4 linked regions of the Lepisosteus oculatus genome follow. The protein of the gene in region 2 interacts with the protein of the main gene of each other region in a biochemical or structural test. Links are inferred from orthologs where the notes say so. Each region holds a gene or a part of one and is shown on either strand. Other genes may lie near its edges.

Region 1 (6,969 bases), on a different chromosome or scaffold from region 2:
GGTGCACTCTGGCGCAGTTCACCGAGACCAGGGCAGGAGCGCTGGCCTGTAACAGCACACATAGACGGCTCAGGAGGGCAGGCGGAGAGAAGCTGGTCTCCGATCCTGCAGTCACCCAGCAGGCTGACAGACATACTGCCTCTGTTCTCCGTACACCTTATCCACCCCAGCTGTGAAGAGGCGGCTGCAGAAACAGCCTGGCTTGCTGGGTGCGGCTGACCAGCCCGTCCTGAAGTTCCCCCTTACTGGGGCTACACCCCTCTGCAGCAGGGCTGCAGGGCAACACAGACCAGCGAGTTTCCTCAACAGGGGCAGCTTGTCTTTCAGATTCTTAGAAGTCAGAGCCTTCCCCCGCCCTGGCGCGGCGCTGCGCTGCTCTTGGCCGGGACAGCGTGTCCTCAGCTATTTCTGCAGCTGCCTGGAATGGGCGGGTCCCCAGCCAGACCAGGCCTCACTCTGGGGCCCAGGCGGGGTGGGTGAGCAGCGCAGCTCCTGGAGGAAAACAGCACGTCGCCCAGCCCCTGTGGGGCCTGTTCAAGCGAAGACTGAACAGTCACAGTCGCGTTCTTGAGCCGCTTTTAAATCCCGTGTGAGAACTGGCCTGTGCACCAGGCAAGTCCGAATCGGCCGTCGCGCCTGCTCAGCCCCGGCGAGCCAGCAGGGCGCTGCCCATCGCGGCGCGGCGCAGGTACAGGACCAGCCAGGCACCCAGGGCTCGTCCAAGCAAGACCAAGACCAGAGCACCTTCCCACCTCGCGCCAGCGGTCTGTAGCCCCAGTAAGATGAGTTATATTGTTGCACCCCAGGGTGTGCTCTGGAACAACTGGCACGCAAACGGGAATCTCTCTGGTGTTTAGGAGGCTCCACAAGGGACTGCAGCTGGCTTAAGGCAGCCATTACAAGTACTACAGGCCCCCAGTACTCCCCCCTCCGCACAGGCGAGACCACGGCCAGTTTCTCAGGGGCAGAGGGCTTGAACACAGCGGGCAGCCTTTCAGAGCAGCTCGGAACGACAGTTACAACACATGAGGAGCTGCCGTTCCCCCAGAGCAGTCCAGCCCTGGGGCAGGACTCACCGGGAAGAGATCCAGGACACACAACTGCTGGGACAGTTCAGGGATAAGTCACAGCCCGCATTCTCGCCGCGCAGCTGGCAGGGGCTGGACAGCAGGGCACAGACGCCAAGCGCCGGCTGTCCTCCAGAGCGAGGCAGACACCAGAGCCCCAGCTGCGAGGCGCGAGGAGGCGAGGGGCTGCCGATAATTCCCCAGCTCCTCCTCTCGAGCGAGCGGCTCTGCTGGGTCCGACCCGGACAAGTCCACAGACCCAGCACAGGAAAAGCCCCGTAGTAAAAAGACACACTTTCACCCGGCGTCCCATTGACCGGAGCGCAGGAATACACCAGTGCCCCACCCCCGAGCCCTGCAGCTGAGATCAGTGTCCGGCTGCAAGGAGAGGACTCTCCCAGCATGGGGAACAGGTTTCAGCTCCTGCTGTAATTAGGTCGTCTTCATTTCAGCCGGGAGGAAAGGCCGGGTTTTAAGCCCCTGTGGAGGGAGGGTCAGCGTTACAAGGCAAGAGCTGGAGGCCAACCGCTCTGCAGGTCCGGCGACAGTGCCTCAGGAGCTCCGCCGAGCTAGTGACCAGAACTGGGAGAACTGGTCTGAATTCCAGCGGGCTTCCATTTCTGATCGGGTCTCGAGAGAGGCTAGAAAGGTATATAGACGTGAACTGAACTCGTGAGGACAAACCGTGCCGAGAGCTCTCATCCCAGACCGAGATGTGAAATTTGACACTGCAGGCGCTCGGCCCTCATGTAGCCGAGGTGCGAGTGACCGCTTCGCTTACACCCCCACCCCGCGCGAGTCAACCGGGGATATTCCGAGTCTCCAAACGAGCACCTATCCCGTGGGTTTCGGGTGTCCTGTGCTCCATGGAGAAACAACAAAGCCCTTTAACACTTCCAGAAAAGGCGCACCGTGTAAAGCACTACAGCGTGTTGTTGAAGGGTTTCTGCCTGGTGCTCAGGCTGGGCTGATACCTCCTGCTCCACCTGGAGACGAATGGTACCGAGCGCGGCGACCTGCGAGACGCGCTGCGTGTTTCTGCACAAACACGCGTGGAAAACCCCACAGGACGCGTTAAAATCAAAGCGCACAGGCGCAAACCCAGCCGTGGCAGGAGAAATGCTGCAGCTCGTCTTCCGCCCGCCCCGGTCTCCTCACTGGCAGACGCTGTTTTAAAGGAGCCACGGCGTCCGTCCCGACCATCCGAGCAGCTGATCCCGATCAACCTGGGAGAAAGGTGCCCGTCGCAGCCCGGTGTGCGGCCGGTAAGGCTCTAAACACCCCGCACCCCCGAGAACACGACGGATAAGCGCCGTTTCGCAATGCTTTACCAGAAAAACAGCGATCTTCAGCGGGACGGCAAGTCAAAGAACACCCCCTCCCCCAAAGTTACAGACGTTTATAAGGGTCGCCAACAGGCAGTTTTTTTAATTAAAGAAAATCCCCCTTTTTTTTAAATGAAGACGCTCACTGTTTTGGTTCGAACAGTTTCATCGCGCCGATGGTTATATGTAAAAAAAAGAAGAAAAAAAAAGGAGAGAAACAACACTTTAAAACAAAGTTGAGTACAGCCATAAGCGGACTCGCACGCCGCGGCCCTCGGCCTACCTCCCGGGGTGGTGGAGAAGAGCGTCCCGCCGGGCGTCTGGCTGTAGCAGTCCGGGAGCTGGGACCAGTCCTTCAGATGCATCACCCTGGTGGGGATCGGGCAGCTCTTGGACTTCTGGCAGTTGGCAGACATTGTGCTTGTGCTTCTTGTGCTGCTCTTTTTTTTTTCCTTCTCAATGATAAAACCAACCAGCGAGGGTCGCCTTAATAAATTTAAAAAAACTAAACACCCCCCCTCCCACAAGTATACGCTGCGCCGAAAAGACTTCTCCCCAGCAGCTCGGCTCCGCAGGGACCATGTGCGCGTCTATTTGCAAACCGCTTTAAAGGCGGACGTGACACGGCTCACGTGACGGCACATCAACAAGATCACGCGTGGCGGCGGGTTGGATTACACCCGCGCGCTGAGCCCCCTCCCCCGGGTCCTGCAACGCCGCCCAAGTATTGCCACGGCCGTGGCAAAGGCGGATATCCCCGCCCCGGCCCATCGCGAAACCTCTTTATCAGCACAGGGCGGGTGTCGCAGCCCAGCGTTAAGTTCACGGCGGCCCAGCGACTCCGCGTCGGCTTGAGCTCGGCGGGTGTCGGCGGAGCCCCGCCGTGCAACGGTCGCTTCCTGCTCGAATGAAAAAGGGCCACCAGAATCACGACTGAGCCCACTCACCCCACTCACGGCGTTCGTCCCCCTACCATCTGGTAGCGCACAACAAGACTCCGAAACAGCTTCTTCCCCAGAGCCGTCAGGCCGGTGACCTCTGCTCACCCGTCCTGTACCGCACAGCGACTGCACTCCTACAGACCCACACACACCACACCGGCGACAACCGACCGCAAGCCGAACTCGAACATAAAACTACTCGAGTTGTACCGCTTGATCATCGCTGTATTATCTTGCACTGTTTGTCTACTGATGCGGGTGGTGTCACACTGGTACCATACTCGTTGTTTACATTGTTATTATTGTATTTACTGTCTATTGTCCCGTCTGCTGTTCTGTATATATATATACTGCGCCCGAGAGACAGATGAGGAACACTTTCCATCATACTAAGCACCTGTGTCAGTATAATGACAAAGTTCAATCGACATATTTATACCCCCCCACTTCACGTTTTAGTCCTAATGTGAACCAGGGCTGCCGTATGCGTTTCCCCACGCGTGTCCCTCTCCGAGTGGGAGGATATCGTTCGCCCTGAGGGGTCGGGGTCACTGTGTCCACCCGAGAGGGCAGGCCGTGCAAACACGCGTGTGCGCGAACACGCAGCAGTACTCGCTCCTGCGCTGTGTCGGAATATTCCTCCTTTCTAGATGAGGACGGTGGCTCAGAGCAGCGCCACACGAAAACAGACAGGCGATTCCCACAGGCTCTGTTTGGACAGGTGAGCTGGCGAGACATGTTCTCACGGGGGTCATTTGAACTGTATCTTAGCCCCCCCACAGCAACAGGCGAACGAGAACACGCTGTTTACTATAAGACTTCATTGTGCGATTTCTCAGAACTTTGTCTTGCATCAAAGCAGCACTTTGTTTTACACCGAAATTTACCAAACACAAACAGTTCAAGTAAATATTAACAAACATAACAGACGGTTACTTCTAGTTATTCATGACACGCATAAAAATTCATCAGTCCACACAACTATACCAGAACCAGTAAATAAACCCGTACAATTGCACTGAGCCATAGTTACACACCCCCCTTGGCACATAACCCACTGATGGTGCTGCCGTGGACTAGGAGTTTCATTATGAGCTAAAATAATTCATTTTGTTAAAGGCCACACTGAGGGATCTGTGTCTCAAGGCATGAGTTCATCATCTTCTTGCAGAAGATGTGAGGGATCAGGGGAGATCCTCACAGCTAGTTGCTACACACTCTGCTGAAGTGGCTGCCCCATTCTCTTAGAACACATCCGAGAGTCTGGACATTTTCACTTTCTGTTGCACAGAAAGGCTGTTATATCATACAGCTATTCCATACTGCATGACACTGTACCAGAGAACTGAAAAACTTGGTCAGAATCTGACTATTGGCACCAAAAGCCTGAAACCCACAAAATGTAATTTTGGTTTTGTAGAATATGTGCCTTCCAAGAGTAATCCCAATGCATAATCCCAGATATTTATAGGATATAACTTGCTTATTGGACTCACTGAATTATGACTGCAGAAGGACTGTCCTTCATGCTTAAAATCAAAGATCCATTTGCAAAAGAATTGTAACAGACAGACCCCCTCCATTGTGAATCTGCTCCCACCAGGGAGATCCCTCTGTGTGCACAAGTGTAGAAGTAACAACCTCAGGAAGTCTTGTGCCCGTTGCAATACGACTCAATTAGCATCTAGTAACTCATCTCCTGGATCACTATTGTACCATCTTCTTAGTTGGTCATGTTTGTACTCCTCGTTGCGTTGTTGTATCGGATTGTGCCGTAAAACAAATTTCCCTCCGGAAAATAAAGTTTGCATTTAATTAAACGGTAAACTCTTCCATTTGTCTAGTATTGAAAAGCAAGGCATTCTTTTAAAGCTCTTGTAGTTCTTTTTTGCAACCACTAGAAAATATCAAATATTAAGACAGTGTAATTAACGCAATGGTATATTTACAATAATGGTATGTTAAAATGTTTTAAAAAAACCATGTATGCCACTTGGATAAGTTGATAATCAAAAGAGGCATATCCAGCATAAAAAGGGTACAAGGTTTGTCCCTTTATTGAATTTTAAACTGTCACTGTCCCTCTTTTCTGAGCCCCACACTCAAATACTTTCACCCTTCTGTGGAGATCACAGCCTCCACCTACCTCCATGCTGAGGCCTTTCTCTATTGAGGGATTCACTGGGAAACGATGCCCTCTATGGGAATACAGTGTAACTGCACCTGTATGTCTCATCTGCACATGAAGTGCGTTACTTTTTCCTGCTCTAGAAATGTGCATGTTTTTAACAACTCAAAACAGCAACCCCGAATGCCAGAATCCAGATAGTGGATAAAAGGCACACTTCTGAGGTTAAAGCTGAAATGCAGATGACAGGCTGGTAATTGATAAGTCTTGTAAAAAGAGGAAAAAAAACAACTTGTGACTTCATAAAATAACTTGTGACTTGTTCATATAGAGAAACGCTCATACAATGGTCTGTCTATACCTGCATTCCAATGGTTACAGCTAAAAAGACTTTGACAGGCTAAACCTGGCATGTCCGCACTGAAAACACCCTGTACAGATCCTTTTTAAGTACACTTTAGTGTTTAGGGATTTGTTAAGTTTCCTACTTCGTGACATCTTTGAAGTCGGGGTGTAGATTACAAAAAGACGCAAAACAGTTACAGTTCCATCTTTTTATTGAATATTAAGGTAAATATTTCACATTAATACAGGCTACATAAAGTAGAGCCACTATACGACATGAAATTTACTCTCATTTTAACCCTTTTTAGTATGTAAACAATTATACATGTATTTACCACTCTAAAAGGTCTGATTTATCTTTATGTAATCATCTAGTTCTTGGCTGCATATAAATAGCTTACAGTACTGTTGAGCCAACAGCCCAAGAACAGTTTATGTGGGTTTAAAGTCAAAATGGCTAAACTAAGCAGAGAATGTATCCTGTTGTACAGGCAATCCATTTGTTCATAGACAGTGGTAAATAGAAGTAACAGCCCACACAGAAATTTTAGTTAGGCACATCAAAAATGGTGTCCATCCTTCCAATTTTAACTTTAGGACACTACAAGTTTAACATCTCAATTTCAATTTCGTTATGCCTCAATCTTTTTAGTTAACATGGTTCAGATGCACGTTTCCAATATGTGGTGCCCAAGTACCAGGCCAGACCTGTAATGACAGAATAAACATCAATTAGCGAGTCACGTACAGCCATAAGCAAGACTGTCAGCACTCTGATCCCCTCTCCACTCCCACTGCAATTACACCTCAGGATTCAGCACAGAATCCCACAAGAACATTTCTGCACACAACTGCACACTTTTCAAAAATATTTAGTCCTACATATGAATCAGATACATTAAAATAAGCTATAATTTAAATGGAATGTGTATCACAAAAATCCTTAAACGTTTTCAACCACAAACATTTCAATAAAAAGATCGATTGCCGAGGATGAGAAGACCTCAGTTATCACAAAATATTGATTGTCCACCGACACTTACATAGCAGGCGTGCCGCTATAAAACGCTGCCAGTTCCACAAAGAACACCAAGGTTTAAATGCATTTTTTCCCACACTTAATCAATTAAATACAAACACATTTGAGCAGGGATTTCTGGTTA
Region 2 (7,331 bases):
ATCACAATTATTTTGAAGAAAAATACACTTTTTATTAAATCCAAAGAAAGGTCACAGGAAAATGCAGCGGCAAAAAGAGATTCACTCCAAACATAAGATGATCACAAAATGCTGTTTTTCTAAATTTAGATAAAGGAGCTGAAAACCGGTAATCGGACTTGCTTAATATTGCTTTTTTTTTTTTAAGCGCTGACAGTAGTGTAAGACAAATATATTCAATTGCTGAAATAAAAACTCATCAAGATATCTGGAGTAAATCCTGGTAATCACCGGGTAATGACATGGTAATGGAAAAGAGCAACATTTCTCACAGAAAAAAAAATGAATCACAACCAAAACATCTTAGAAGGTAAAATAAAAAAACAAACATATCACATTTCTTTGATTCATACAATATAACTGCATAGTAGCATCAACATTAACTCTACAGGCCTAGTTAATCTATAACAAGATTGTGGAAAAAATTGATAAGAGCACTATAGCAACTGGGAGGTCCTGAACAACACTTTTTTTCCCCACCAAAGAATGTTATGTGTCATACTTAAAATAGAGTCTTGATTGAGCTTTAGCTAATATGATAACACTATGTGCAACAAGCTTACTAGGCCTAACTGGAGACAAAGCTTCAAACTTTCCGAAAGACATGAAAAAACACAATTGTAGCCAATATAACTCTGAAACTGTAATGTCAATGATTGGGGAAAAAATGATTTTCCTTCTATCCAAAAAGGCTTTAAATACTAAACCACCATATACTAATATTTGACACTGAATAATAAAATAAAACATGTAAAAAAACTGTACACTATATATAAACTGTACACAACATTATATTACATTGTAGTTCCGGTGGGTAGCTGCGTCAGCATGCGTAGGCTCCACGGCCGAAACGTTGTGTTCTCTTTCTTCTTTTATTCAGCATGGAATAAACCTATTACTTATTATATTACATTTACAGTCTTCTAACAAGGGCAATTTCTAATATTATTTGCGAAAGGTGGCACATTATTGCCCATGCCTATCTATAAAAACACTAGGACCATGAAACAGAATATACAGAAGCATGACTACAATTTCTGCTATCATATCACAAGAACATAGTGGAACTCACACAAACTAGCAGGAATAAGCTGACACTGGAGAGCTTTGGCCAGCTACACTGCATACTTAAAGAGTACTTAAATTGTCTTATGTATTTTATTTGTGCTTGCTTAATACTGCTTTTTTTATGTTGTTGGCTTTTACAAATTGTTCCTGACTGAAAATAATTGCTCAATAGCGTGTGGGAGTATTTTCTTTTTCCATTCCAGCTTCACGACTGTAGAAGCCAAGAAAAAAAAGTCCCATGTTACTGTTCCATTTTCATATGGTAGCAAGAAGTTACAAGTCAAAGTAAGAGAATCTACCTAACCTAGCGCCTAGACAATGACACAGTGCCCTTTCTTATTATTTTCAGTGCCAAGCTAATTAATCCAAGTCTAAACGTATAAAAAAGGTGAAGTCATAAGCTACCCCTCTGCACTGGGAACCTATACGATCCGTCATTGACTTCACATGCAGGAGGCGCTCATACCAAAAACAGCTGTTGAATACCTTAAACGTGGCTTAAATCTATACAAAGTAAAAAAAAAGGGGGAAAAAAAGTGAATGGTTCAAACCAATAAGAAACGGGAGTTAAATCCTTATTCAATTCCAAAGGTTACAAAATTCCTTTGGCACCCATAACGTCACTGCTCAAGGAACGCCTGGGTTTTGTTTTTTGGACAACACACGACAGGAGCATTCTCCGTAATGTACAGTTGGAGGAAAACACATGGAAAATGTATCATCCATTCACATTCCAGCTACAGGAGCCCGGGGCTGAGGGATTTCTTCGCATCTGAACGCAAAACAATAACACGCTGGCGAGTTGCAGCATCTGCAGTTTCAAGAGCAGCGGAAGGGATCGAACAAGCCAGGCGAACCTGTTTGCTTTGGCTGGAAAACTGGTGAATTACAACGGACCCAACAGTCACTCTTTAAATCAAAACATCTGTTATGCACTCTTTCGGGCAAAACAAATGAGCTACAGGTCTTATGATCAGTTAACTGCTTTACTAGTAACGGTTGGGGGGGGACCTTACCGCATACAACTAACCACCTTAATCCCTCGAGGGTTCAATACCCAATTTGCTCGCAATTACCTCGACACGAAGGTATCTAAATCAGACAAGTTAAAGAGCGCACAGCGAGATGAATGGAAAGGCGCTTGACACCCAACAGTAATGTTACGGTTACGGTAATGAGGCACATAAAACTGTCAACGTCAAACGTCAACATCGGGCGGTTCAGCAAACACGGGGAGTTAGTCTCTAAAGCCAAAAGCTTCTCTCAAGTAACCGTCAGAGCCGAGTGAAAGTTCAAGATGCCCTGCACTAGTCATCGGAGGGAATCGCAGCCCAAGAGTATGCTGTGTGTGTGTGTAGGGTTATTTCCAGTTTCAAACTGTCAGCTGTACAGCGCCACGGACATATTACGTGTCCCGTGTTTTCTTTTTTTCCGTGTTTCGAGGAAATGCGATGCACTTGACAGGCGACGTGCGATGCCTGTGGACGAGCAGGCCCCGACTACACTCCACGGGTGATCCCTGATCTGCTGTGACTCACACGCATCTCATGTTGCTGCCGCTGTCTCCTCCTACAACCGCTGAGTGCTCATGGCTCAAGCTCACCCTACATGCACGTAAATACATACACACATTGCCCGCAAATACTCGCGCCATTATCTCATCGAAAACCGACCCACAGGCTCGCCGACGACCCCGCTACTAAACCCGTGCGAAACCCTCTCACCGAACCAGTAGAAAAATGTGAACTAACGCCCTGAGAACTCGGTCAACTAAAACAAATGTTTCAGAGCAATACACTCACTCACCGGTTCCGCGGTCGCCATCTTATATCAATCTGATTCACAGGCTTCTGGTGGGAACATAAAAGCCGATTGGCTTCAGCCGTCCAACGTGACGCAACCGAGTTGCCAATGGCTGTTGCGCATGCTCCTATGTCAACGGGACGAGGGGGGTTGTGGGGTCTGTAGTTTCGCTGGAACGTGGGCGATACGGATAAAGTTTTTTCTAGTTCACTGTCCTCTGCTTGACGTTTTAAAAAATAGTAAAAAAATAAATAAAAAAAACACGCAGGGTTTAAACATATACATGTGATTCTTGGGACATTGATAATTTACCACAATGCACATACCACTGATGCACTATTGTTATTGCTAGAATTGCTTCTTTTTCAGAGACCAAACCTGACATACTTATCAGTCAGCTAATGTGATAGTACCACCAGATCTTTGCCATGTGATATTTCTAGCAAATAATGAACACCGGGGCTTGTTAATTGCTACTATCCAAACATAACAACCCACTGGCCAGGTATGAATTCCAGTGACAGTTGCTATTGATTTTGTATAAACTTTGGGCAGCACAGTGGCTCAGTGGTTAGCATTTCTGCCTTGTATCACTGGGACCCTGATTTCAATTCCTTGTCTGGGGTGTTATGCAATATGTTAATAGTAATGAAGATTCCTTACACTTATATAGCGCTTTTCTGGACATCCTACTCAAAGCACTTTACAGATAATGGGGACTCCCCTCCACCACCAATGTGCAGCACCCACTCAGATGTTCTCCCCGTGTTCATGTGGGTTTCCTCTGGGTGCTCTGGTTTCCTCCAACAGTACAAAAAACATACTGGTAAGCTAATTGGCTTCCGTAAAAAAACTGGCCCTGGTACATGTGCTTGTGTCTGTGTGTCCTGTGATGGACTGGTGTCCATCTGGCTCCAGCTTCCCTGTGACCCTGAATTGGAAGAAGAGATTAAAAAATGGATAAAATATATAAAACAAATTTTAGTAAAACAAGTCAATTGCCAAATGAAACATAACTCCACCAAGCACAAGAACAGTTTGTGTTGGCAACTTAAATTTAACATGAACCTTCTTTAAAAAAAAGAATGTTGTCATACCCAGATATAGTCCTATAAAAGAATATATGAACATAACAGATAGCTAAGTGAATTTTCCTAACATTGAACTTGTCATTGACAAAGACACTACAAAGGACCAATATTGCATATAAAGTTAAGGAGATGACATTTAGAACTAGATTTGAGAATCATGGTACAGTATCACAGGGTACGGAGATAGGATTCTACAGGACAGCCAATAGAACTTGAACTTGAACTTGAACTTTATTGCCATATGTAACCGGTGCTGGTACAATGGAATTCTTACTTACAGAAAGTCTCTCGATTGTAAAACAAGTGTAAAAAACAAAACAAAGTGCAAACAGTGCATCAAGACAATATACAAACAAACAATAGACAATGTGCAAGTAAACATGCAGACAGTTTGAATGTAAACAATACAGACGTGTAAACAATGACTGGAGATGTACAATAAATAAATTACAATGAGGTAGATGGTGATGGTGTAGGTGTGGTCCGAGGGGGATGGCTAAATGTGTTCGCCAGTCTCACTGCTTGTGGATAGAAGCTATTGAAGAATCTAGTGGTAAGTGTCCGTATGCTCATATCTCTTGCCTGAGGGCAGTGGGGTGAAGAGCTCATGCCCAGGGTGGTGACTGTCCTCTGTGATGGTCAGAATTCTACCACGGCAGCGGTCCTCATAGAGCTGCAGCGGTCCTCATAGAGCTTTGAAGGTTAAGTTCTACGGTTAAGGACAGAGTGGTGGCACTGTGGCTAAGGATCTGCACCTGTGGCTGACAGGCTACTGGTTCACATCCTGTGGCTGGCAGTGGGAATCCTACCCCATTTGGCCCCTGAGCAAGGCCCTTAACCCCAACTGCTCCAGGGGTGCTGTATAAATGGCTGACCCTGTGTTCTGACCCCAAACTTCTCTCTCCCCACCTGTGTGTCTCATGGAGAGCAAGTTATCTCATCTTATGAGCCATTTGTGACTGAGATTCCCCAAGCAGCAGCACACGACTGGTTGAGCATTGCTGAGGGTATAGTGTTTTTAGCTGGCTGAGACTCTACTGGCTCCCTTGGGCACTTGCAGGCATGTGGTGCAGTCTGTAAGAGATGCCGCTCTCCTCCCATAAACCTCTGGTTCTGGTCAGAGGTGCCTGTGTTATGTTAAAAGGTGTGTGGGTTAGAGAAGTCTTCCTATTTATCCCTTGTGAGCAGTCATTGGGATCCGAGTTGCTGGACTATTAACTATTTATGTTCTCTGCCAATACTTAACTCTGAAATAATAGCCAAGATTTACAAAAACCAAAGAACAATGGTTAAAAAGAGAGAGGAAGCCACTGAGCTCATTTCAGACCTTGAGAAGCTGCACGTTAAATAACAGTGTATTAAGATGATGACAAAGGTTTGAACAACATCATTATTTGCTAAAGTTTACAAACTTATCCTTGCCATTAGAAATACCAATTAATGAAAGAGAGAATACAGACCTACACTGATAATGATACTACAAATACATTGTGATGACATTAAACTAAGTGTATCTTATCCACTCTACTGCTATTGTAACAGTAACAGGCCCCAGACAGTGCTAAATAAGGGTTTTGACTACATCTAAACTGTGTGTCAATGCCTATTTACAAATTCCCATGTGGCATATTTATAACAACACTTTTTTAGTTTGATCTTCAAAACTTTCCCTTACCACAAATGATAGCTCAATAGTGCATGGAGCATGTATCATTAGTCTGCAGAGAAAAACAAATGTATCAGTTTTTATTATACAGAGTTAAAAAGCAAAGTAATAAAGCCAAAATATTGATGAAGTTGACTCTATAGGAACATCTGCTTGTTACTATTTTTTATGTTGCATGGCAAAAAAGAAAGATTAATGACAAAAATGAGCAATTCTCTTTATGACAATTTTCAATAAAACATTCTATCATCCTTTACAATTGGGACAGTTTATTAACTCCAGTAATGGAAGTAAAGTCTACAAATAACCTGATAAATTTCCATTTTATTAGCATCTAGAACTGAATGCATAGTTGTATATTACTTACTGTACATTGATTGCTATATATACACAGTATATACTGAAGGCTAGCAAGATGACCACCCAAAACAATAATCCCAAAATCAGAACATCATATTAAAGGTTATAAACGAGAGGAGGTTATTTGGCTTATCTAGCTCATTTTGTAGTTAGTAGTTAATAAATCCAAAAATCACATCCAGCAGTTTCTTAATTGAAGGCAGGATATCAGCTTCAATAACATTTTGATTACTTGTTCCCTACAAGTGCCGTCCTCCATACAGTTAGTCCATAAAATCACGCAAGCAAGTAAGAAGTGCCTGCTTTTGAAAACAAAATAACATTGCTAAGCATTACATTTAATTAAACCAGTTATTATATACTGTATCTCCATCAGCCTTTGCCAGTCTTCAGCTAGATAAATTCCTGTCCAAAATTAAAACAGTATTTAAAATACATACCTCATTGATATCATAAATTTAGTTAACAAAATGGGAATGTTTGTATTCTGCAGATGTTTTCTCTCTGCTTTAAGACTATCACTATTGTGATATATATGTATATATTTGGTAACACTTTAAATACATGCTGCTTTAATGATTTAGAATTCTTGCTACATCGTTTTGAAGAAGGTTTCAGACATTCTTTGATGGATCAAAAGGCGCTACACAGAAAACAATCATTAACCATGCATCAAAAGTTTCTAGATGAAAGGGGAGATTGGGCCGGCAAGGTTGACGCTGGCGCCGCTGAGAACAACCGACACAGTGACTGTTGGTTTTTGTCTTTTTCTAATTTCTGACACTTCCCTCTTCTGCAATTATGAAAACCCCCACTGTAAATGATGAATGAAAGCTCAAGGAAAACAGCCCTGCTCTTAGGAAAGTCAGGCAGTGTTGTAGGTGGCCGTGCGCCTCCCTGCTCCTCCCAACTCGAGGTCCTCAGTGACTCTGTCTCAGCCCCTCCTCTCCATTCGCAACTGGAGTGTCAGCATGGCGGCCCATGAAACCAGAGAATGTGAGACGGAAGGCTGTAATAGCGAGGCCAAACTGCAATGCCCAACCTGCATCAAACTGGGAATCCAGGGGTCTTATTTCTGTTCGCAGGTAAGGGGGATCTCGCCAGCTTCCTTTGCTGTATATACCGGCTGGACTCAATTGAGAGCCCAGTAGTATTGCGCGCTCACACTACTTGGGTTTTCTGAGGTTGAATGTACCCAGTTGTGATCCCTGGGGCTGTTTTATAAAATACCCTCTTCTATTCCTGCTTAATAATAGGTATGCTTTTTTAACATAGTTTTTTTTTTCTTCCATTTAGCGATTGCT
Region 3 (7,785 bases), on a different chromosome or scaffold from region 2:
GCCACTAACTACCAACGTCTAATCTATAACCTGTCTTGTGTCCTTGGGTTCACATAACTGTTCGAAACTGAGGTATCATGTGAGCACATTAATAGTCATCAGGAAACAGGGGGGAGGCTGACCAGTCCATTGGAGATCACCCCTTACAATACAAGTATCCAGCAACCGGTATAGCAGCTTAAAGATTTATCCATCCAGCTTCAAACCACTCCATCCAGTTCAAGGTCACGGGGAACAGGAGCCCATCAATGCGAACAGCAGGCGCAAGGCGCAGTACACCCTGGACGGGACGCCAGTCCATCGCCAGGCACACGCACACACTCACACCAGGGCCAATTTTCCCAGAAGCCAAATAATCTACCACTATGTCTCTGGCCCGTGGAGGAAACTGAAACACTAGGTGGAAACCTACGCAGACACACAGGCAGAAACATACAAACACTATGCAAAACTACAATTATGGATAGTGAACCTAACAGGGCAAAAAGAGCACCTCCATATTAAAAGGTGGAACTCAAAACTGCACAAGTGGCACAAGCAAAGTCCAAGGTAACTAGCATTTCTAAACCTGGCCATCACCAACTGAGCAGGTTCCTAGTCCTTTCACCAGCTATGTCATCATTATTAAATCGCAGGCTGTTTCTCAGTCTTCACCCTCCCCTTCCAATAGCAGTTAGTACCTGGGGTCTCGCCATTCTCTCTGAGGCTGGGGAGGCAACCTAACAATGCAGGAGGGGCACCAACACAGCTCTGGGGGACTTGATGTAAAACGGATAAAAACGACCAATGGAACAAAGCCATTATGAAGTCATGCAGTCAAAAGGCACGCATTCAGACACGCTCATCCCATACAAACACCACAAAAAGCATGCAATGAAACACAAAAGCTTTAAGCCCTTCGTACACGTCTGCTGTTACAATACACACTGCGGCTCCTCAGTCTGTCGGGAATGTTACGAGGGTGTTATAAAAAGCAGACACACTTTCCAAATGTGGTGGAGTTAGCTGCAAAAATGTCCGATTTCCCTTGAAATAGACCAAAGGGCCTCCAAGGACCAGACTCCCTGAAAGCCAAAAAAAAAACAAAAGACCCTAAGGGATATCTTTCCACAACACCTACAGCCATCCTGCCATTGCTCATGGAGCCCTAGTCCCACCTCTCTCTCCCCCAGACTCTCGCCTCTTTACTCCCCAAACCAGGGGTACGACTTGACATCGCTCAGATCGCCCCCTGACAGCGCTGACCATGGGTTTGAAGGGGGTAGGCTACACCCTCGCATCCCCGTTGACGCAGCATCCATTAAACCAAAGCGGGCAGCCGGCACCTGTCCGCCCAGCTCTCCATGCAAACCCGGCCTCGGGGGAGGAGGGGGGTGGCTGTCAGCACCTCTGCTTCACGCCCCGCTGCCGTCCAGCCCCACGTCTACACCTCGAATCACGGGAATAAAAGTGATCTTACCTGTAGTTACAGCGAAAAGAATACATCCGGTTTACTGGGCGCAGCAGGCTGCTGCGATCCCTTTGTGCAACAGTGTCTCGCAATGCTGCCTTCACAGAGCCGCCTGGCGCACACACCGGCTGGGCATATGTAAACACAACCCAGTGTTGCAGCCAATTCACCGCTTTGCCGGTATTAAGGGGGTCGGACCTGCGCGTCACAGGCAAGACACTAGGGAGCCGGTTAACTCACCCTGCTCCCCCACCCCCCCAAAAAAAAAAAAAAAAACAGATCAAGTCCAGCGTTAATATTATCGCTCCCGAGTTCAGCGGATCAATGCATTTTCACCTCGTTTGGTACCTAACACGGCACAGGCCCACGAAACAACGGCTGTCTTTGCCGCAAACCGTTTGCCGAGAGAGCGAGAGAGAGAGAGAGAGGGGAGGGTGGGTAAAAAAACACCGACAAGAGCCAGGCCCCACGCAGACGGAATAAATGTAAAATCTTGAAAACTGCGCCCGGGGGTCGTTGTGCCTTTTTTTTTTTTCCCACTCTCCCTCCTCCCCGAAACGCAGCTGCGCCGCACACCCGGGTTAACCTATCCCACCCGTTGTCTTCTACCAAAACGGAGAGAGGGTGGGGGGGTGAGGGGAAGAAACACAAGACTCACACACACACACAACACAAAACTTGACGTTCCGGGGAGCGCAGACCGGACCTGTCAAGTTCACGAACAAAGCCCGGCGTTACTGGACTTACCGGCCCCAGCCCCCCTCGCCGGAGCACGAATGCCCCGGGACCCTGCTCTCCGGAGCAGGTATGTTTCTGGGGGCAGACGGGGGGTATGTATCTGGTTGCTATGTGGGTACCCTCACCGAACCCCCCCCCTTCCGACCTCTCTCCCGGGCCCGGGGGGCCGGGGGCGACACGGCCGGGCGAAGGATACTGCGGCGGCGGCGGCGGCGGCGCGGCGGGCGGCTGCGGGGCGGCCGGGGCTCCCGGTAACGCCACGGAGGTCGGGAGAGCCCGCAGTTGGCTCGGCGGAGACGGCCCGGTTCCGGGTCCACTTCCTGCGGCAGCGGCTGATTTCGGTACCGCTTTCGGCGGCAAACTCATCGCAAAAAAATTCAACAAAAGAAAAATAGATGTAGGCAATAATAAATATTGATACAGAGGTGTAAAAAATATATTGTACACATCTAAAAAAAAAAAGTACAGCGACAGATTTCCCCCCGGACCAGGCCCTTAATCCCTGTGCTGTACTGGGACAGTACAAAAAAAATGCCTTTTTAATGGAAAGAGTCGCTTTTATTGGGGTTTTATCTTCATGGGGACGGCGGGGGGGTTGCTTTCCCCCTCCCCGGCCGGGGCTTCCTCGATTCCGGTTCGGTTCTGCTTCCCAGAGGGATGTCGCCGGTTTTTCCTTCTTCAGTTACTTAATGTTTCTTGCTCAGTAATTGTTATTTTAAAAGTCCTTTTTCAGTGAGAAGGGAGATTTCGCTCAACATGGCGCTGCGGCCGCCTCCAGCAGTCCGGCAGGACGGACAGGTTCGGAAAACGTCGGTTGCTTCCGGAAATGCTCGGCTGCTCCCCCCCCAACGGGGGTGACGTCAACATTCGGGTATCTTCGACTCCCTTCGCCAGCGAGGTTTGGGGATTTTTAACTCCGGCTACTTACGGAAATTGTCGTTCTGGAAATCCCAATTGACAGGGTGTAAAAAGCGTGCTGTTTGTGCTCGAGAAGGTTATTTATGTACATGTATCATGCCCGTTTCACAAGTCTGATTAATAAATGCTAGAAGCCCTGTTGCCTCTGATAAGTGAAAATGATTTAAGCAGTGCTCAATAAATCAATAGCAGTTATACAACGTTGAAGAAACATTCACGATTTTACCATCCTAGAATTTGAGTGTATGGTTCAGGAACCAAAAGTATTAGCGTAAGTAGATACAAAACAACTGAAAAAGATTGATAATGCATTGAGTATGTACTCGGGAAATTATTCTTACTTTTTTTTAATCAAGGTGAATGAGGTGGCGGAATTTTCTTAAAATCCAACAGTCCTTTTGAGTGTGTAACCGTGTCCTAAATTGTCCTTTTTAAAACCAAAATAGTTAAGGATCTTAGTGACATCTAGCGTCTGTCCTGTGAAGTACCGCCCCTGCAAAGGCATTGCTTAATGTTTACTTGGATGTTCCAAATAAAGTATTACTTCCTTTTCTAAATACCTTGACTTAGTCCAATGTAAAACGCTTCATGTACATACGCGCTTTATATGCACGTATGGCGTATGATTTTTAGGATTTAAACTTTTTTTAGCAGAGAAGTGTATTTGATTTTTAAAAAATGTCCTAGTCTCATATGCCACAATCTTCCATCTATTTTAAACAGCTTTATCCAGTACAGGGTCACAAGGGAGCCAGAGTTTATCCCAGCAAGCAACGGGCACCAGGCAGGGTACCCTCATGGATGGGACACCAGTTCATCCCCAGACAGACACAAACCTGCACACACTTGCAAAAGGGTCCTTTTCCCCCTAGAACCAATTAACCTACCAGTACGTCTTTGGACTGTGAGAGGAAACCGGAGCACCTATTGTTAACATGGGAGAACATGCAAACTCCACATAGACAGGAATTTCTGGAACTAAATCCCAGCACTGCGGGAGTCTTAGTCTTTACCACAAACGAAGGTACTGGGTTACTTGCATAACGAACCATACAAATTAGATATAAGAAGACTAATATTGTGTGTTCAGGAACTGATTTGAGCTGAATATGTAATAAAACACCGCACTCTACAGAGGAAAAGGCATGGGTCACCAGAAGGTACTGTAACAGTGTGCTGTACAGAAAGCGAAAAGAACAAAAAAACACGTCAGAGAGTAATGGTTTGTAGGGCTACCTGATTGCAAGTAACTTACAGATCCAAGCAACTTATGGAGTAGTTCAAAGGCTTCTTTTTTTTTTTTAAATCAAGCCCCACAGTTTTGCAGTTGGTTCAATCACCTGTACTCCCAAGAACAATGCCTTTATTAATCCAGTTTTGCCACTGAATTTTTATGGGCGTTCCCTGCTCCTGTTTCAGTACGCCAAACAGATTCAGTGTTAAATCTGTATAGTACTTGCTTAATAATGACCCTCTCCCCTTCCAGTCATTTCACCATCAATATCGCCTATTACTCCCATCATCCCAAACAGCGCAACTGCTGTCAGACTTGAAATCAAGAACACAAATGTACTTCTTTAAAAAGGTCTTTAATTACACTTTCAAGTTGAAAGCTTAAGGCATCAGGCTTTTCTTACAATTGTAACTGTAAACAATATATAGAGAATTGTTTTGGTTTTACATCCTGTCATTCATGATGAACTCACAGTGGGGCACAGATTGTTACAGCCCAGTTCATCCCATTAGGATAAAAAACTGCTGTTTGTAAGAGCTACAGTTAAAATAGCCAGACTATAGTGTCATGCAGTGATTTAAAGAGGAGTTGTCGGAAGAGACTGGGAGAAAACATTTTTGTTATAATTCTAGACCAACAATTCTATATATATATATAACAGTGTTCAATGGAGGTTCATTCATTATACGAAATCTTAATGACAACTTTCAAAGAACAAAACCAACAACTAGACAACCATACATATTCACCAATGAAGACCTGTTTCTTGTACAATGCAAACCCCATTCAGTGATCAGAATATATTTACACAAATGTACAGAAACAACAAATAAAACAGAAATAATTTAAGAATATGGTCTGAGAACCCAGTCCACCCTTTTCTTTCACAAACCATACATTAATTTTGTGCACAAGAACAAATCAGCCCCTTTCACCGCTGTACGTTTGCGCAAGCAGGTGTGTGGACAGGGGAGGTCCTGCCCCAGGTCACTGAACAGAAATGGGTATCAGTTTCTCGGATGGCACTGGATTTCACACCCCAACACACAGGAGCAAGCAGCACAACTCATCCCCAAGCTTGGTCTCCTAGGGAATTTAAAACCGTTAGTGGATAAGGCCTGTTGAATTCATTTAAAACAATCAATTCAACAAATGATTCAATCAAGGCATTAACAGCAGAAAACCACTGAGCTCTCCAAGACCAGGACAAAGTACAACTGGCCTGGAGGCTTGAAGCTAGCAACTAGGCTGTGCAGCCCTGGTTCACAACAACCTGAAAAGCCCATGGAAAGTGTGCCCATGGAAACCGTTTTTACTATAGAGGCAGTGGTACTTGACCAATAAAACCCAGAAATAGTGGTTAATTATGTACATAAGTTCTTGATGTAATGGACGTCTGACTGTTATGTACTGACAGACCAATGGATTTTTGACAACACAAGTGAACCAACACAGTTAACCCTTTTCTGTTGCGCATTTAGTTTCTTGCATTCCATATAAAAATTACATTTAAGAGATAATTGTATTAATTCTATACAGTTCTTTTTTTCATTTATTCTGTGGTATAATCAAAGTGGTTATATTGGATTGAACAGCCTTTTCATGTGTAAAATCAATGAATAAGCTTTTTAAAGTCCATAAGATAGTACAATTTCAGCTAGTACTGTTCAAGCTCACTAATTAAACTCCATTTAACTACACCCCAAGAACAGTAGAGTGTAGTATCAACACTCTTCCGGCAGTTTTGCCTGGTACATTTGGTATGACACAGTTTAAACGCAGCACTGTTTGTAATATTTTTATCACTTCAGGTAATTATAATTCTTTTTATTTGCTTGTAGATCGAAATTAGAGGCCCTTATTGTGTCTTTAAAAAGGGTCACCCCAGTTACAAAAGCTTTGAGAACAATGCAACAGAAAAAAGTTTGTTGTAGCATTCCAGCACATACAAAATAGACTAAGTTTACTTTCTTAATAATATTCTCCTTGGTAAATGTGTGTCAGTCCTGAAAGGCTGCAGTCTGATGATTAACACATTAAGCGCTGGTAGGTTATATGTAACATTTTAATATCCGGACAGACAACACACATACAGCACTACAGTAGCTTAAATCATAGCAGCCTTCCTCACTGAACTGCAAATCAGTTCTTTTCTCTGGAAATTTCTTTTCCAGTCAGTATAAGCATCTTAGTATTGCTCAATAAACTACTAATAACAAGACACATCATGGGAGAAATAGTCTTCTCTCAACTTGCTATTTTGAACATTCCTTGCTCATTAACCTTCCATCACAGTTTTCTCATGAAACAGCTGATTATGAAGTTATTTATATATAGGTGTGTAAGACTGTTCTTCAAAATATGCAGTCATTGATGATGGAATAAACAAACTGAAAAGCAATTATGTTTAAGTATCCAAAAATTGAGCTACAATAACAGGAACTTACAACAACCATAAAAATAAATAACGTGCTTAAAAATAATCATTTCTACACAAAACCTGAATCATGAAAAGTAGAAGTTCTCCCTCTTTTTTTTTCTTATTTTCCATTTTCCAGTGTTTTGCATCTTTTCCTCTTCCCCAAAAATATTTTAACAGAGTTTCATTTTGAAGTTAGTGAAACAGCATGCTCTTCCGAAGTTAGTGGAGGTCCAGTGGGATTGTCGGAAAGGATAGCATCTCAGTGGTTTATAAATGTTGACGGCCTCCTTCTGCAACGTTCCCCATTCCCGGAGTTCCCAGTCACTCTTGTCCTGGATAGGCACGGCACTGGAAATCACCAAAGCTCACATTTACGTTGGGGGTTCATGGGGGAGTTGTGCTTGCAGTTGAAGTGCTGGGAGAATTCCCTGGAGTTGGACACGGTACCGATGACTCGAAAGCGAGAGGGACTGTGTGGGTCTGTGATCACGCCTTCGCGAGAGCTCTCAGGTGTCCGCACTGAGCACCACACCTGCAGTCGGGGAGAGAGGATACACAAGATTCACTCCTTACGTGCAGAGACAACTGCAACAAGCTCACACAACATCTCACTGTTGTGAGTCGGCTCTTTGCTTTCCTAGAAATAACAGGATGCTGATAAGATGACATACTCAAACAAATGTGTAGTAGATTGTGCACTGAGGCGTCACACAGACAAATTGGAGAACAATGATGGTACATGCCAGAAGGCACTATATCTATAGGAGTGCCGATGATTTTACAGCCTACAAACACTGTCCCCCCCACTAAACCATCCCTGCCTGGACACCAGTGTTATTTGTGCCCACTGGTACAGTATGTACAGTCAGAGATCAAATGACCAATAATTTTAGATAGATGTTTGAACAGACCAGTGCTTTAAGCATGTCAATTATTTAGCAGGCTCTACAAAGGATGCTTTTTAAAGAAATTATTTAGTGAAAAAAGCCTTCTCTCAGCTCTGATTTTGGAAAACTGGATTTT
Region 4 (7,204 bases), on a different chromosome or scaffold from region 2:
TGTGTGATGACTGGGGAGGTGTAGTTAGAATGACTAACTGAGCACTTTATAAGACTTCATTGTTGCCTTGCTTTTTGGTTGGAAGTGGGAGACTTAAGCTGTGAATGTCTGTATCTGTTCACTGCAAAAAGCTGTGTACATGTCTAGCTGGTAACTACCTTATTGATGAATCTGCTCTGAAATGGGCTAATTACAGTGCCTCGTTGTGCCTAAATAAACTATTGCGCAGTTCATGAGTCTGTTCTTTGATCAACATTTAGCTGCCAAAACGGTTGGTGTGGCCCCATTCCCCTGTCTGTGCGACTGAGGAAACTGTTCTGCTGTTGGAGTCTGTCAGCGGTCTGTTCTCTGTATGAATTGGCGATAAAACCACACACTGACCCATCTGGCTACTGGCACTCATGTTGCAGCACTCTTACCTACCTTCCCCTCCCCACTTCCAAATGGGGCTGAGACTGCTAGTGAAGTACTATGCAGTGTTTGCTGCAGTCCACCGGAACTTGTGGGGTCCGTTGTAATGTTGGCTCATTGACCGCTTTAATCTGCACTGGTTTCTGAGGGCTTCTGTCACCATGCCCGTGCTTATGACCTGCTGAAGGAGAGGTCCGCTGTTGGTGGCTACAAAGGAGTTCAGGCATGTGACCTCTTGATAAACTGCAGACTACCTGTAAGTCTCCTGGAAGCCCATGAGAGAGAGTGAGGGTTACAGCTCCTTGTCCTGGAGGTCCTTGTTTTTGATGTCTTCAAGTTGACTGATTTCAGTGAGTGGCTGTCCAATCTCTACTGGGCACCAGACTCCTCATTTGTCTTTCAATTACAACAATGGCAAAAGTGGCCTTTGCTTTACAGATCAAGCGTAAAGTAACTTTGAGCTGTATTTTAACACATGGAACATGCTAGATCGGTAGTTTTAGTGCTTAGCATTGCTGCCTTGCAACCCTGGGTTCAGTTCCTGCGCTGGGGTGCTGCTGTATCTGTGTGGAGTTTGTCCACAGGGGCTCTCTCCAGCTGCTCCTGTTTCCTCAAAGATGCACTTGCCCTAGTGTGTGTCCGCCCTGCGGTGGACTAGTGTCCCACCCAGGGTGGATCCTGCCTTGAGCCTGTGACTTGCCTAGAGAGGTTCTGACTCTCCCACAACCCTGAGTTGAATGAAGCACTGGGGGGGAGGAATGGGTAGATGGGTGTTCAATAAGTGAAAATGAGGTAAAATTCCCATTGCAGTGCCTGGGAGTTCCTTCCCCTGTGGAAGGTGTGAAACCAGGCCTGAGTCTTGGGTGAGGGAGGTTTGCCATGGTGTTGGCTTTCCTGGAGGTTTCGAAGGCCGTTAATGAGCCAGGGAATGTTGCTAGCTGGGATAGAGTGGCAGGATGGGTCACTGCCATTAGGAAGGAGGGGTGATGTAGTGCAGGAGATGAAACCTATCAGGGGCAGATGGGTTTATAAGTGTATTGTAGTCTGAGAAGGTGACTTCTTGGGGTGATACAACTGCTACATTTTTTCACCCGTCGGAAGTACCGTTTACCCAGTTGCCCCGGTCAGCACAGCAGTGCGACGTGGCCCAGAGGACGTGCCCGTGTCCTCGGAGCAGCGGGGTTTGTGTTGAGCTATCGGCTCCTAAGGAGAAGGCTCAGGTACCGCAGGCATTGTCCTCCAGAAAGGACACTTGAGCAACTGACAAAAAACTGTAAAAGCAGAATACAACAAGAAGACGCAGAACTTGTTTTTTTACGACTTGTGCTTCAGGGCAATTCAGGCCATGTGATTTCTGGTGTACGTCGTCCATGAGTCCATCGTACAAAAGGTGGAGGAACTCCCTCCTTGGGTTTTGGGCCAGATATGTGGTCTTGTGCCACTGTGGCTGCTGTGCCAGTGTACACAGCTTTGTAACAGAATGAGTTTAAAAAAGATGGACTACACAGAGGGGAGGGAAAACCTTTGGAGTGAATGAAAGGTGACAGTACAGGTTTTCACTGTGCTGCGTGGCCTGTTTTATTGAGAACCGAGGAATTTCAGGTCATCCAGCGGATGGTGAGCAATTGTAGTGTTAGTTTCCACTAGAGGGTGCAAATGTCACTGAAGGAAAACTAACGGGGGACGGAGGTTCTCTGCACAAATGAATGAATAATAATTCCTTACACTTATATAGCTCTTCTCTGGACGCTCCACTCAAAGCGCTTTACAGGTAAAGGGGATCCCCTCCACCACCACCAGTGTGCAGCCCCACCTGGATGATGTGCCAGCAGCCAGAGTGCACCAGTACACTCCCCACACACCAGCTCTCAGTGGGGAGGAGAGCAGAGTGATGAAGCCAGTTCAGAGATGGGGATTATTAGGAGGTCATGATTGGTAAAGGCCAGTGGGGGGGGGGGATTTGGCCAGGACACTAGGATAACACCCCTACTCTTTTCAATAAACGCCCTGGCATTTTTAATGACCATGGAGAGTCAGAACCTCAGTTGTATGTCTCATCCGAAGGACGGTGCCTTTTTACAGTATAGTGTCTCCGTCATTATAGCGGGGCATTAGACTCACAGACTGCAGGGTGAGCGCCTCCTACTGGCCCCACTAACACCTCTTCCAGCTTCAACAGGAGGTCTCCCATCCAGGTACTGACCAGGCTCACACCTGCTGATCTGCTAAGAGTGGACATCAAAGTGGAAAGAGATAGATCCTGCTTTTTATTGATTCTTTATAGTCATCCTCCCAACTTGAGGAGCTCATTGGTCGTTTGTCTGAACCAGGATGCTGCTGAATGTTCACCTGGGAGACACACAGAGGCCTCACTGCACCAGCAGCCCCTCCTGGGAGACACACAGCGGCCATTCTGCACCAGCAGCCCCACCTGGGAGACACACAACGGCCATTCTGCACCAGCAGCCCCTCCCGGGAGACACACAGCGGCCATTCTGCACCAGCAGCCCCAGATCAGAAGTGTGAAATTACAAGGAAGACTGAATTAAGGGCAAACCTGTGAATGACAGAAAAGTAAACAACAAACCAATCAGTAAATCAAAAGTCTTCTGCAGATTATGAAAACATGAAACAGTGTCGACAGCTTTGTAGTTGATAAAAGGTGGGGTTCCCAGGGGTCACTGGTGTCCCAGACATTCTACAGGTACTTTTAAAACGAGCAATTTATAAAAACCAGGTCATATGACTTAACGCCCAGATTATGAGTTCAATGAACTGATGAACAGAGGCGAAATGACATCCAGTCATGGGATGAACTGTCTGGAAGATGCCCAGGTTAAAGAACAGACCCCTTGTAGTTCCCCAGGCCGAAGGAACAGAGCCCTTTCAGACCTGAGCAGGGAAGATTACGAGGGGATCTGATTCAAGAATTCAGAATCCTCAATGGCACTGACAAACACAGCCAAGCAGATTTCTTCAGAAGGAGCTGTGAAACGGGGGGCCAGAGGACAGAAGTGAGAACTGCAGAAGTGCATTTAAAACAGGGAGACAGAAGGTACTTCTTTACATAAAGGGTGGTGGGAGTGTGGAACAAGCTAAAGGCTACCCAGCCACATTGTTAAGGCTGATGCCCTGTTTTCTTTCAAGTACCAGCTGGAGGAGATCCTGTGATCAATTGGCTACCACCTTCCAAACAGGTTAGATGGGCCAAATAGCCTCTTCTCGTAACCCCGGCGTCATGGCCAAATTTCCCATTGTACTTTCACAATCACTGACTCCTAGTGATCCCCATCTCTGAACTGGCTTCATCACTCTGCTCTCCTCCCCACTGAGAGCTGGTGTGTGGGGAGCGGAGTGGCTCATCATCCAGGTGGGGCTGCACACTGGTGGTGGTGGAGGGGATCCCCATGACCTGTAAAGAGCTTTGAGTGGAGTGTCCAGGAAAGCGCTATATAAGTGTAAGCAATTATAATATTATTATTCCCGTTTATAACGGTTCCTACTTTTAATAAAACGTCATCTTGGCAGTTGGAACTTGTTTTTGGACTCTTTTCGTTTTGTCTTTCTTACTCGTGCTGTAGATTTAGCACACATCAGGGTTACAGAGTACCTGAAACATCACGAACGAACTGCAAAAGGCGCAGAACGCAGACGGGGGCAGGACCGAAACCCACTTGCCGTAAAGCCCGGCGCGCTTGCCGTACGATATGTCTGCCCCCAGGAGCAGGCCCAGCCCACCGCCAGCCGTAAAAAAGGTTGCCTTTTCTTCGCGTTTGCGACTGCCGCCTGCTGATTACCGGTAGGATGGGGCAGGGCTGTGTCACAGACACTGGCTGAGTGTGCTGAACGCCGACGATAATTGTTGCGAGGACCGTTTTCCGCCGCGGCTCGGAAGGAGAAAGCCAGATGGATCCGAATCGGATTATCCAGGCGCTGAAAGGGACGATAGATCCGAGCCTGCGGGTGGCCGCGGAGAATGAGCTCAATCAGGTGAGTTATTTCGCAGATCAACTTTCCTGTTGCTGCAGCCGGGCGGCGGCAGGTTCCCAGTCAGGGTACTGGGTCCCGTCCGAGCGAGGAGGCGCTGCAGGCCTGGTGGCGTGGCACCGCGGTCCAAGCAGCGGGCCCGGGCCCGGGTTCGGTCCGGCTCGGCTCGGCTCGGTCCGGTCCGGTCCGGTCCGGGCCTGGACGGGACCGGCGGCAGCCGGGGTCCACCCAGGGTCCCACCGGCCAGAGCAGTTTGATGGCGGCGAGTGAGCTGCAGGGATCCCCCGGCCACAGTTTGTCAGTGTTGCCCCGCAGGGGTAACGGGGTAGTTTGAGCCTTAAGGGGACCCCCTTGGGTTTCATACTCGCCCCGGGGCTCGGAAGGGGTGACCGACTTCTGCATTTTTCTCTGCGAGAGGTAACAAGTCGTGCACAGATCCGCAAAGAGAAGTTTTGTTGTGGCTGTGTCGGCGCCGCGGAAACAGTCACGGACGCCGGGCTCGTCGGTAACACTCTGGGAGTAATCGTTCAGTAAAAACTCTTTGTCGCTTGCGGCTTTAGAAGCAATGCCCCCCATATCGTGGAGATGCGTTGCTCGTTGACGTGATGCGATTTAAACACTTCCTTGCGAGTTACACTGAAGAGCGGCGTTGGTGTCTGTGAAGCTGCGCTAGACAGAAAGCATCTTGCATTAGTCAGTTCCCCAAGACCATCTGAACTGCCCACGGGGTGCATAAACACTCCAGTGTAGCTTCACAGAGGGTTTTTATTACACTGACTAGGATATGCACTGGATTTCAGTTAAAATAAAATGTCATTCTGACTGTGTGCGCAGTTATGCTTAAACGTATGTAGTGCGTCCCTGTGAAATATAATAGTGACCCTGTCCTGTGTCCCAAGGCTAAAAGAGCACAAGAAGCACTCTCTTCCCCGAGACCTGATTTCATATGACAAGACGAATCCCTGTTGCCACTACAGTGGCCTCGTCTGCACTCTTCACCATCTTATATCCATCGCTGTGAGCAGAGTCCTGTGCTCATTCAACCTGTTCGCAGAGACCGGGACGAAGTCTCTGTCTCTTGTTTGAACTCTATTCTAAAGCTGTAATGTCCTCTTGGTTGGTGTGGTGACGGCGTGTTGTGAATCGGGTCTGAACACTGCGTATGACCAGAATATGACCCCCGTGGCCCAGTCCGCCGTCAGGAAGCCTCGAATTCCCGGTTGGGTCTCAGGAAACTGGAGCCTGTCCTGGAAGCACAGGGCACCAGGCGGGACCGGGCCACAGCCTCGCCAGCGTGTCTTGGGAAACTGGGAGATATCCGGCATGTGGTGCTCCGCTCTCTCTAATGTGTGGTGCTGCCCCATGTGGTCTTCGTGTGTGCAGGGAGGAAGATGCATAAACGCCCGGAGTCATTTTCCACCTCATGGCGCTGTCCGGGGCTGTCTGCGATGCTCTCCCTGCTGTTTCAGCGTTTGCTCCTCCCCCTGTCCTTGTGTCACCTTGAAGTGTAACTGGTGTGGGATCTTTAGCAGCAGGAAGGGAAAAGGACCTTGATCGGACCCCTGTGGTACGCCGCAGCGTTGACCAGCCCCAGCTGTTCTCCTTGAGACGATGAGCAGTCTTCTGTTATCGACCTCATCTCCAACAATCTGCCTTAAGCCTTATGGATTCGTCAGAATCTCATCCTCTTCAGTCTTATTCCGTTCTTGTGGTTAGCTAAACAAGACTTTCCCTTTTTTTGAATCCATTGGTGTCTCTTAAGGTGCGATTATGTTATTTAAGTATTCTTCTCGTTTAGCTCTGGCTGTTGTTTCCATAATGTCGCTAAGTTAAGACCGATTTATCTGTGATTCCTGGTTAAGTTTTTTCCCTTTTTCCTTTCTACGATTTAACACTAGATTTGCAGTTCTTCGATCAGCTCCAATCCTAATTCCGAGCTGAAATATTCTAGCTAAGGGTCTTGGCGTCCCCCTTACCTGTAAAGCGCTTTGAGTGGAGTGTCCAGAAAAGCGCTATATAAGTGTAAGCAATTATTATTAATTATATTATCCTTTATTCCTTATTCCTTTTATTCCGTTAAGTACAGCTGGTTGCCCTGGACTCTGTGACCTCATTTGTCAGTTATACTCGAAGCACTCCATCTTGATGGACCTTCTGTTACACAGGGGGCATGGGATTAGCATCTACGATCATAAAAATGTGTATAAATATTAATTTAGCCCCCCGTTTGCAGTTTGGCAGTTCACTTCTGGTGCAAAAAACATTGCCCCCACGCCCGGCCTGCGCACTATGGGGTGCTGGCGCTGTGGTGAGGTGCTCGGCAGCAGCAGGACAGGGGTGCTGTTGGAGGCTCTGACTCAGTTTAATGAGATGCTGAGATTCTGAAACGGGACACCTTTCTTTGCCCAGAGGCAAACTGCAGTCGTGAATTTGCGACTTCAGTTGCAGGAACCGCTGTGTCCGGCGGTGTGGAGAGCTGTCCTGGGCCCCGAGTGAGCCGCTGGACGGGGAGGACCGCTGTGTCCGGCGGTGGGGAGAGCTGTCCTGGGCCCCGAGTGAGCCGCTGGACGGGGAGGACCGCTGTGTCTGGCGGTGGGGAGAGCTGTCCTGGGCCCCGAGTGAGCCGCTGGACGGGGAGGACCGCTGTGTCCGGCGGTGGGGAGAGCTGTCCTGGGCCCCGAGTGAGCCGCTGGACGGGGAGGACCGCTGTGTCCGGCGGTGGGGAGAGCTGTCCTGGAGCCCTGAAGTCCTCTCTGCTTGGTTTTCCCCACTTGTGTCCTCAATGGCAGGATCATACTGGGCAACG

What was found.
Region 1: the proteins of eukaryotic translation initiation factor 4E-1A (region 2) and eif4ebp3l form a complex in vitro, tested with the Homo sapiens proteins (2 studies listed by IntAct, with this or other methods). The link is inferred for Lepisosteus oculatus from reciprocal best matches to the Homo sapiens genes EIF4E and EIF4EBP3.
Region 3: the proteins of eukaryotic translation initiation factor 4E-1A (region 2) and eif4g3b form a complex in vitro, tested with the Homo sapiens proteins (3 studies listed by BioGRID and IntAct, with this or other methods). The link is inferred for Lepisosteus oculatus from reciprocal best matches to the Homo sapiens genes EIF4E and EIF4G3.
Region 4: the proteins of eukaryotic translation initiation factor 4E-1A (region 2) and ipo8 form a complex in vitro, tested with the Homo sapiens proteins (2 studies listed by BioGRID and IntAct, with this or other methods). The link is inferred for Lepisosteus oculatus from reciprocal best matches to the Homo sapiens genes EIF4E and IPO8.

Annotation. Positions count from the first base shown.
Region 1 is NC_090706.1:40,987,588-40,994,556, forward strand, and holds the start of eif4ebp3l (eukaryotic translation initiation factor 4E-binding protein 3-like), read right to left. Parts: upstream 3,008-6,969; 5' UTR 2,809-3,007; coding exon 2,676-2,808; intron 1-2,675. Other genes in the region: ankhd1 (ankyrin repeat and KH domain-containing protein 1), read right to left, coding at 6,455-6,514. UniProt on the Homo sapiens protein: Repressor of translation initiation that regulates EIF4E activity by preventing its assembly into the eIF4F complex: the hypophosphorylated form competes with EIF4G1/EIF4G3 and strongly binds to EIF4E, leading to repression of translation.
Region 2 is NC_090696.1:61,844,817-61,852,147, forward strand, and holds the start of eukaryotic translation initiation factor 4E-1A, read right to left. Parts: upstream 3,020-7,331; 5' UTR 2,932-3,019; coding exon 2,914-2,931; intron 1-2,913. Other genes in the region: metap1 (methionine aminopeptidase 1), read left to right, coding at 6,999-7,112. UniProt on the Homo sapiens protein: Acts in the cytoplasm to initiate and regulate protein synthesis and is required in the nucleus for export of a subset of mRNAs from the nucleus to the cytoplasm which promotes processes such as RNA capping, processing and splicing.
Region 3 is NC_090720.1:7,334,184-7,341,968, forward strand, and holds the start of eif4g3b (eukaryotic translation initiation factor 4 gamma 3), read right to left. Parts: upstream 3,005-7,785; 5' UTR 2,555-3,004; coding exon 2,385-2,554; intron 2,292-2,384; exon of another isoform or gene 2,198-2,291; intron 2,020-2,197; exon of another isoform or gene 1,486-2,019; coding exon of another isoform or gene 1,460-1,485; intron 1-1,459. Other genes in the region: ece1 (endothelin-converting enzyme 1), read right to left, coding at 7,118-7,294. UniProt on the Homo sapiens protein: Component of the protein complex eIF4F, which is involved in the recognition of the mRNA cap, ATP-dependent unwinding of 5'-terminal secondary structure and recruitment of mRNA to the ribosome. Functional homolog of EIF4G1.
Region 4 is NC_090702.1:56,231,118-56,238,321, reverse strand, and holds the start of ipo8 (importin-8), read left to right. Parts: upstream 1-4,184; 5' UTR 4,185-4,317; coding exon 4,318-4,401; intron 4,402-7,204. UniProt on the Homo sapiens protein: Involved in nuclear protein import, either by acting as autonomous nuclear transport receptor or as an adapter-like protein in association with the importin-beta subunit KPNB1.